Schizosaccharomyces pombe: one gene and its partner. Changing the gene in region 1 together with any one later gene gives a genetic interaction. Each region holds a gene or a part of one and is shown on either strand. Other genes may lie near its edges.

Region 1 (3,785 bases):
TAGAATAGGAGAAGAATTTAGTCAAACTGTTCAATTTATTAAATCTGAAACTACTCTGAAACAAAAAAAAACCAAAATTGACGTTCAAAATGTTTATGGACTTGACAGAAACACAAAGAATTTGGAAAAACGCGATATTCAATTTCTAGAAAACGACAAGTTGGACCTGAATTCTCATGAGAACGAAGGCGAAAAAACTAAAACTGAAACAGTACCTACGCGTAAACAGTTTCCAAAAGTTGGAGAATTTAACTCCGCAATACACGGTCTTTCTTCGGAAAGTGTTTTGAGAACATGTTTTCGTGTAGGAGAAGTCTTAGCAGTATTCAGGATGAAACGAAGAGATGTATGCATTATAGTTGAATTTTTTGGTAAGGTCTATTATGTTTGCTCTCAATATATGTTGGTTTTATTGCATAAAAATGAAATCTAACGTTATAGCAAAAGTGCGCTCTGCAAAAAAAGTCGGCAATGTCATCCTCTACTACTTTGAAGACGCATTTCGTGGACAAAAATCACCAGCGATATTTGCTAAATATTACTCATGTTGCGAAATATCGCCTCTTTTAACTAAACCGGCAACTATGATCAGAGTGGTTGGAATCGTCTCTCATGCCGAAAAGATTTTAAAAGTGATACACATAGCTAGCTCGGATTTAGATGAATTATGGGACACTTACAATATGGTGCTCTACGAAACTTTATAGATTATCATCTATATATGATCATATTCACAAAAGATAAGTAAATATCTCTGAAGAACCAATAATCAAGCTTTAGAATCACAACTGAAAAAAATGGGCTAACGGATAATACACAATACGTTATCAGCATAGGAGCATACTGCAAAGTCAGTAAAGACAAATGCTCCGTAGATGAAAACAATTGACCGCACGAATATCATATAACAAAAAAGACTTGTCATCAAGTTTGTAAATCTGAATTGGGCGAATCTATGTAAGCGCTGAGCAAACAATTAGGGAAATTTGGAACGGGCGTCATTCAAAGTGAAAGGTTTTTAAGAGGATGCAATGGGGTAACTTAGACGTATTGAGCAAGCCACTTGAAGCCTTCGCCATAACCTTGGCGAAGGACCACCGAGCACATGAATACTTCGATAGGTCGGATTCCAGGAACGGGTTTAGACACGCCCTTACCAGTGGTCTGATAAAGTCCAAGGGCCGCCTTGAGTTCATCTTCAGAAATAGCACCAGGGGCATCGATTTTATTGCCAAGAATCAAAAAGGGGACGCGAGCAAGTTCTTCCATGGCCAATAAGGCATCTAGTTCGGCCTTTGATTCAGAAAGGCGTTCAAAGTCACAGCAGTCAACCAAGTAAACAATGCCATTAACCTCGGGGAAATAATCTCTCCACAAGCGGCGAGCTATAAGAAAATTAGTAAAAATACATAAAATCAGATAGAGAATCCAAAATCATAGAAGAAATTGCAAAGAAAAAACAAAGATCATGAGAACAAAACGGCCCACTGATAAACTAGCCAACGACATATGAGACGATATAGAAATTCAAACAACTTTATACAAAAAAGAATTTTAAGCGAAAAAAAATTAATTATTCTAAAGACATTCCAACTCTTACAAAATCTCCATGATTTAGAAAAACAACTCTGTGACTACATACCCTGTTGATGACCTCCCAAATCGAAAGTAGTAAATCGAACGTTGCCAATAGCCAGTTCTTCTGAAGTAGGATGTAAAGTTGGTTGCATTACAGCTAAACGGTCATTCTAAATAATTAGTATAAGGATAATCAAGGAGAGTAGAAGTCAAACATACTTTCAGCATGTGTAGCAAGGTGGTCTTTCCGGCGTTATCTAAACCCAAAAACAGCATCTTGGCATGCTTGTTGACAAGACCAAGCATGGCAAGAGCATCGTAGAACCAGTTAATGATAAACATTGGTGTAAGATGGATGGATTTTCTGAAAACCTGTTATGCTCAGTGTGTTGGTGGTTGGCAAGAGATGACTTACCTCATGCCTAGTTATACTAATTTTCTCTAGGTAACCGAAAATAAGTAGTTAAAGAAAATATTTAATTAATGTACGTATGAAATGAAACTGAATAATTACATATAGTTCAAATTTGGAAGCTTCTCTATGCTTTTTTCTAGTAGTAAGTATGAAGAGAACGATTTTGGCGATTTCTAATTTACATGTTTACGTTTGCTTAAATTAACTATTAATGAATTCGTCTCAATACAATTTCTTTCGGTTTGAAAAGAATAAAGGATGATAGCTTTCAGCTTTTCGTTTAAATAAAATTCGACTAGTAATTTACCATTTCTAAAATTTGTAACTATAAACATGTTATGTATTTGCACTACGCTCAGTTAATAACAGGGCGCAATAGACAAATTGAGAAAAACGGTAAATAAATGTATAAAAGAATTGAATGAATAAAACAATGCACACTTACAACAGTTGGGTTAGAATTACAAAAAAAAAAAATTCACGTAGGCTAACTGTTTTTAATATTAGCTTTTGAGATTAGAAGTAACTTTAATTTCTAAAAGTTTTCTGGATTTCTTTTTTTATAAATCTTACAAATTGTGACATCGGCCTTTCGTAGTTTATAGATATATTATACGAATATATATACATATATTTTTGTTTCTATGTATACGGTGGGTGATACAGGAATTTGTGTTTTATATTTAAAACATATAAATTCAATAATACTCATTTATTCAAAAAAATTTTTTTTTAAGCTAGTTTTTTTCATAATAAGTTGTTAATAACTATCATTTAATTATTACTTAATATTATTCCGGCATACAGAATTAGTAAATATCAGCTGAGAATCTATATCTACAGGATATTTTGCTAGCAAATAAATTAACAAAAATTGCATAATCTTCTCTAAAATTCAAGCATCAATTTTCGGGTTAATTTATGATCTTTTTCATTCTTCATTTCGTTAATTATTTTTGTATCACAACTTTGGAACGTAGTGTAATATGATATTCTTTATCTATACGACACACACCAAAATCCTTCTTCTTTTTGCAAATATAGACAACTTTTCTATTCGATAGCTTTAAAACTTCATAAAATTTTACTTGAAAGAACAACCAGAAGGTACTACTTTCGTTTATTGGAAGGTCCGTTTACAATCGATTGAAAATTATTCCTTGCTGCTATATATTTTCAGACTTTAATTTGTTCCATCAAGCCATCAAACACTCAAGCTATCATTATCTCAGTGAATAATTAAAATCACTATTTCATCTTATTTATAATGGGAATTTTCAGTGAAACAGTTCCAATTACTGCTGTCACCACTTATATCGATCGTTTAACCTCTAGAGATACCGACGATGAGGATTTGTCTGGTATCGTTCAATTATCTGAAGCCGTTAATTTAACTGTTACTGGTCCGCGAGAGGCTTCTCGTACCCTTCGTAAGAAGTTAAAGTACAGTACACCTCATGAACAAGTTCGGGCACTTGTTATTCTCCAGGCTTTAATTGAAAATGCTGGCTCTCATTTTTTACAAAATTTCTCAGACGAAAAATTGGAAGACCGAATGTTGCAATGTGCAACAAATTCTGAATATTCTAAACCCGTTCGTAAGCGTGCTATCCATATGATCAAACTTTGGCACAATGACTATTCTAATGTTCGTGGAATGGAAAGCATGAGTAGTTTAGTATCTCGACTTCCTCAACGACAATCATCTGCTTCGCATTCTGAACAACCCACTATCAATCTTAAAAAGGTTGGTCCAATTTTAGAAAGATTGATAGCCTCTTCCAGCATGGCT
Region 2 (4,535 bases), 1.9 Mb from region 1:
CGTATGATAAATAGCACCCAAAGCAATTATGCTGGGTGAATGTAAGAAATAGATGTCAGAATGCAATGTCTCAATTAGGAATTTTTTGGAAAGGTCATGACATTCGTAAAACTTTTCGACAGCAACTTTCGGAAGCACTGTTTGACAATCTAAAAGGAAGCCTTGTAAAGGACGAAATGGAAGCCAGACGTAAAGGTCCCATTTTAATGATTGACAAACGTTAAATTCGTATTCAAGAACTTCTTCGGGAGTCGTCTTGGGCATGTTTTTACAGAATTGTTCAATAGAGATATAATGATCGTTGCACTTGGTAGCTAAAAATAAAGAAGTAAACCTAATGTAAGAAAAACAATGTTAGCTTAATGGACTCGGCGACTTAAACATACGAAATAATTTTTGGACTATACTCCATGACAGAGTTAATTAGATAAAAGCGTTTAAAAAAAAGAATGGCCGTGGACTAAAATTTTGTGAGTAAAGTCGGAATGTTTATATTGAGTACAGTTTCCAAGTAATTGAAGGAAATCCGACCATGTCTAAACATACGCGAATATGAGTTGGTAAGGAAAGAGCGGAAGAAAGTGCGTTCAACTGGAAACTATAATAATTTACAAGTTCAAGTTCTTCTTCAACGGTAAGAGTTGGAGGCAAAACTTCTAAGGATGCTTCCTTGTTTTGTAAAGACAACTCTTCCAGCATTCGCTCACGTACAATATTCGTAAATTTTTCATTTACTTTAGCACGTGTTTTTGAAAGGTCTTCTTCCGTAAAAATCCAATCTCTGTAATGCGTGGAATCACGAAATTTATCGGCAGACATGTGAATAATGTAAGTAGAATTTACAGCACTCTATCAATTGAGGGTTATGCAAAAATTTAAATACTTCTCTATAAAGCCAGTAAAATAATAATATTTTTGAAATTTGGATACTTCTCTGCTATGAAAAACCCAAATCGCTCGTTCGCTGAGACTTTGTCGAGGACATCAGATACCCTGGATGTGGAGAAGAGAGTTTTTGCAATTAATGTGCGATGTGCAAAAAGAAAGCAGCACTATAAAGTTATATTAATTTAATGAAGAGTTTATTACATAAACTAAAATTTACTAATAAATAAAATATTGTTGAGTTGAAAAAAGTCTTGCATTCATGTTTCAATCAATTTGTATCAGCATAACATTTCACTGAAACGAAGCTGAAAAAAACAATAGTTATATAGGATTATGCTTTTTTATATTCCATTGAGGCATATCATTTAAAGCCAAAAAATTACCTGACAACGTTCAGTTACATATTTGAGTGAATTGCAAATGAACAAGAATTGGTAGTTAAATAAGGAAATGAAACAACATATTATTAATTAAATTTAATTGGAAGTCAATCTTTGAAATGAAACACGCTTTCTGTGCAAAAAACAGAAGTAATATTATAATCATACACAGGCAGCGGCGTATTAAGATTGTAGGCACCTTGGCACGAGATCGAGCATTCATACCCTTTAGTAGAATAAACACAAACATTAATTTCATGGACAATGTAGTCTCGCGGCAATTTCGTCTTAAAAATAATAATTGGAAATTATAAATAAATCCGAAAATTTCTCATCTCCTCACTCTTTCCCCAGTTCTCTTAATCTATTTTCGTAATATGATGAACATGTAGTAAATATTGCTATATAAACTATATAAACAATACAACGTAAACCTGGTAAAATGTACAGGAGACCGAGATATTAAATAGTGTCTGTAGCAAAGTTGCAACCAAACTGAGGTCGGAATTGAGTTCTAAAAAGCTGAAAAGGAAAATATAAATATAAAATGAGCCAGAATATGCTCCGAGATTTAGAAAGAATCTATTATAAGTTTCTGTTTGTTCAAAGATTCTTCGCAAATAAATATCCACAAGTAAGTATCATCCTTTTTTAAGTCAATAAGGATTTAGGTTATCTCTAATTAAATCTTTTCTCTACTGTCATAAAAAAATGGATAAAAACTTATGTATATATTAAACATCGCCTAAATACGTAAAAGAGGATAGTGATGTCGATATTATTCGATAGATTCTGATACGGGGATCTAATATTCTTACAGTATTTGCTTAAGTCTCGAAGTAGGTTCACAGCGATTTCGAAACATACCCACACCACCGTATTCAAATAGACATTGTTTTTTTTTAGTGGAATTCTTGTAAGTGTACTTTATTGATTTGCTCACTAATAAGTAGAATTTTTTTTTGATTCGTCGCCGATATCGATTTATTTTTTCAATACATTCCTATTCCTCGTATCCAGCTTAAAGTGTTTTCTAATTATTAGATCAAAATGGCTGAACTCCACCTTTCTTTTCCAGCTTATTCTCTTTGTTGGATTAATAACCATCAAATGGCGGTTGGTGGTGGAGGAGGAACTACAAAATCTGGTGTTAAAAACAAATTGGTATGTCAATTCGTGACTGTAAGTGAAGGATTACTTCATTATCTATCTATTTTACAGCATTATAAACTTTTTAGTATCCGGATTGTTAGCTAAAAAGATTATGTTTTACAATTGGACTATAGGCGCTAATTAGTTTGTCGAATTTAGAAGTTATTATCATATGAAGACTATGAACCTGAAGTTGGTGAAGGTCATACAAAATTTATAGAACATGGAGAAATCGAACTTAAGCATTCGGATGATGCCGTTATGTCGTTGGGTTATTTTAAAAATGTATGCAATATTTTTTTATTGCATAGCTAACGAAATTAAATTGTAGGAATTAATAGCCGGTATTAATAACACCATTGACGGAAAGTTAATTGACCATTTACGTTTATATGGAAGAAAGGATAAACTATTTGAGGAAAAGAACGCTCTCAGGTTAACCGATTTTGACAATGATGAACAATATCAAAGGTTATGTTTATTTGAGCCATTACACGATGCAATTTGTATATCTTGCACTAATAAAAGTTTTTTTATCATCTCCAAAAATGATCACAAAGTTTTGTTTGAAAAACATGGTTCAGATGTGTATGACGTTTCATCTACTGAAGACAAGGTAAGCCACAGCCTTTACTAAATTTTATTTATTAAATCCTTACCATTCTTTTGTAGCTTGCAATTGCAGTTGATGATCGCGTCGAAATTTATGATTGGAACACTTTTGAATTGGTGCAAGTACTTTACATGCCGGTAGAGCGAGCCACAGTACGAGGTGTTTCGTTTTTACCCAACCAATCCATAGTAGCTGCTTATAACTATATTAAAGATTCCAAAAGGTTTGCTTCATTGGTTCGATTTGATTACAGTTCAAAGAATCAACTTTGGAGATTTGGCATGATCCGAGATTTAAAAAATGCAAAGGGCGTCACCTGCTTTTGCTGTGATAAGGAGAATGGAATGATCATAGTTGCTGGAGCAGATTGCAGCATTCGTTTCATGTCTTTAGACTTAACGGTATGTGTTTACTTAAATATTTTTATTGCGATTTTGCCTTCTAATATGCATGCTAGAAATTGTCTCAAGTTTATAAGCATAGCCTTCCAGTAACTGATATGCAGTTATCCCCTGATTCTGAAGCACTAGTTAGTGTTTCTGCTGATGGCTTGCTTTGTCTTCAGTTTGTAGGAAAATTCAAAAATTTGAGCGCTGTCAAACTTGAGGATGCCGGAGTCATACTTCGATTGTCTCTTATGTTCCCTTTTGTTTTGGCGATCCTGTACTTTTACTTACAACTTCTTTTCCCAGATGAGAAGTTAGACGCAATTCATCGATTCTTTTCCTTTATTCTTCACATTTTTTCGAAATACACGATTAGAAACTATGACCTTTAAAAAAAGTAAAACCAGCTCACGTTTTATGGTTTCCTATAAAGATTTGGCTGGCACGTAACTAGCTTATTGTTTCCTGCAACTTTGCAGACTTTTAGAGTTCTTTTGTTTGGATAGAAGATTTATGTTTTGGGTGGTTTCATTTACCACAGTCATCAATGACGATATGAGGAAATAAAGAAATTCTACATAACTAATCATGAGTATGCCAATTTCGATCTGTACAATGACTATGCAACATTATAAAGTCTGTAGGGCATTTATGAAATTTTGCGTTGGACGACCTTAGAATACAAAATGTATGTGTCTTTTAAGTCATAAACATGTTTTAGGGCCAGCGGCAGTGACAGTAGTGAGGATTTTGAAGTCTTTTAAAACCAAGGAAATTGTATTCATAACGGTCAGTGATTAGCATATGAAATTCGTTAAGCCATTATGGTTATCAGATATCTGGGAGATCAAACAAGAACCAAAAAGTAAAGGCTTAGGCGAAATCAAAAATATACCTATTCAAAAATATTTTTTGTAATTGATTGAACAGATTGAGCGAAACGATTCACGATATTCGAGAAAAAGCGAAATTTGCAACGTTTGCCTTTGTGTGCTCTCAAGACTTTGAGAACATCACCTCAGATCAAAAGAGAACGGCTAGTAAGTAGAAATTAAAAGTAATCAAAGCACAATCCTCTATCTTTCAGGAAAAAGAAAATCCTCATCGATTGCAATC

Evidence for each region.
Region 2: of sar1 (region 1) and spo14, extra expression of one rescues a mutant of the other (dosage rescue), as found in Schizosaccharomyces pombe (one study listed by BioGRID).

What each region holds. Positions count from the first base shown.
Region 1 is NC_003423.3:3,759,910-3,763,694, forward strand, and holds sar1 (ADP-ribosylation factor Sar1), read right to left. Parts: upstream 1,977-3,785; 5' UTR 1,921-1,976; coding exon 1,798-1,920; intron 1,749-1,797; coding exon 1,643-1,748; intron 1,386-1,642; coding exon 1,042-1,385; 3' UTR 708-1,041; downstream 1-707. Other genes in the region: protein mug37, read left to right, coding at 1-371, 442-707; protein lsb5, read left to right, coding at 3,261-3,785. UniProt on the Schizosaccharomyces pombe protein: Small GTPase component of the coat protein complex II (COPII) which promotes the formation of transport vesicles from the endoplasmic reticulum (ER).
Region 2 is NC_003423.3:1,889,440-1,893,974, reverse strand, and holds spo14 (GDP/GTP exchange factor Spo14), read left to right. Parts: upstream 1-2,131; 5' UTR 2,132-2,184; exon of another isoform or gene 2,185-2,221; 5' UTR 2,222-2,318; coding exon 2,319-2,432; intron 2,433-2,545; exon of another isoform or gene 2,546-2,579; coding exon 2,580-2,705; exon of another isoform or gene 2,706-2,751; coding exon 2,752-3,036; exon of another isoform or gene 3,037-3,092; coding exon 3,093-3,434; exon of another isoform or gene 3,435-3,490; coding exon 3,491-3,811; 3' UTR 3,812-4,003; downstream 4,004-4,535. Other genes in the region: transcription factor TFIIH complex cyclin Mcs2, read right to left, coding at 1-334, 387-460, 547-819.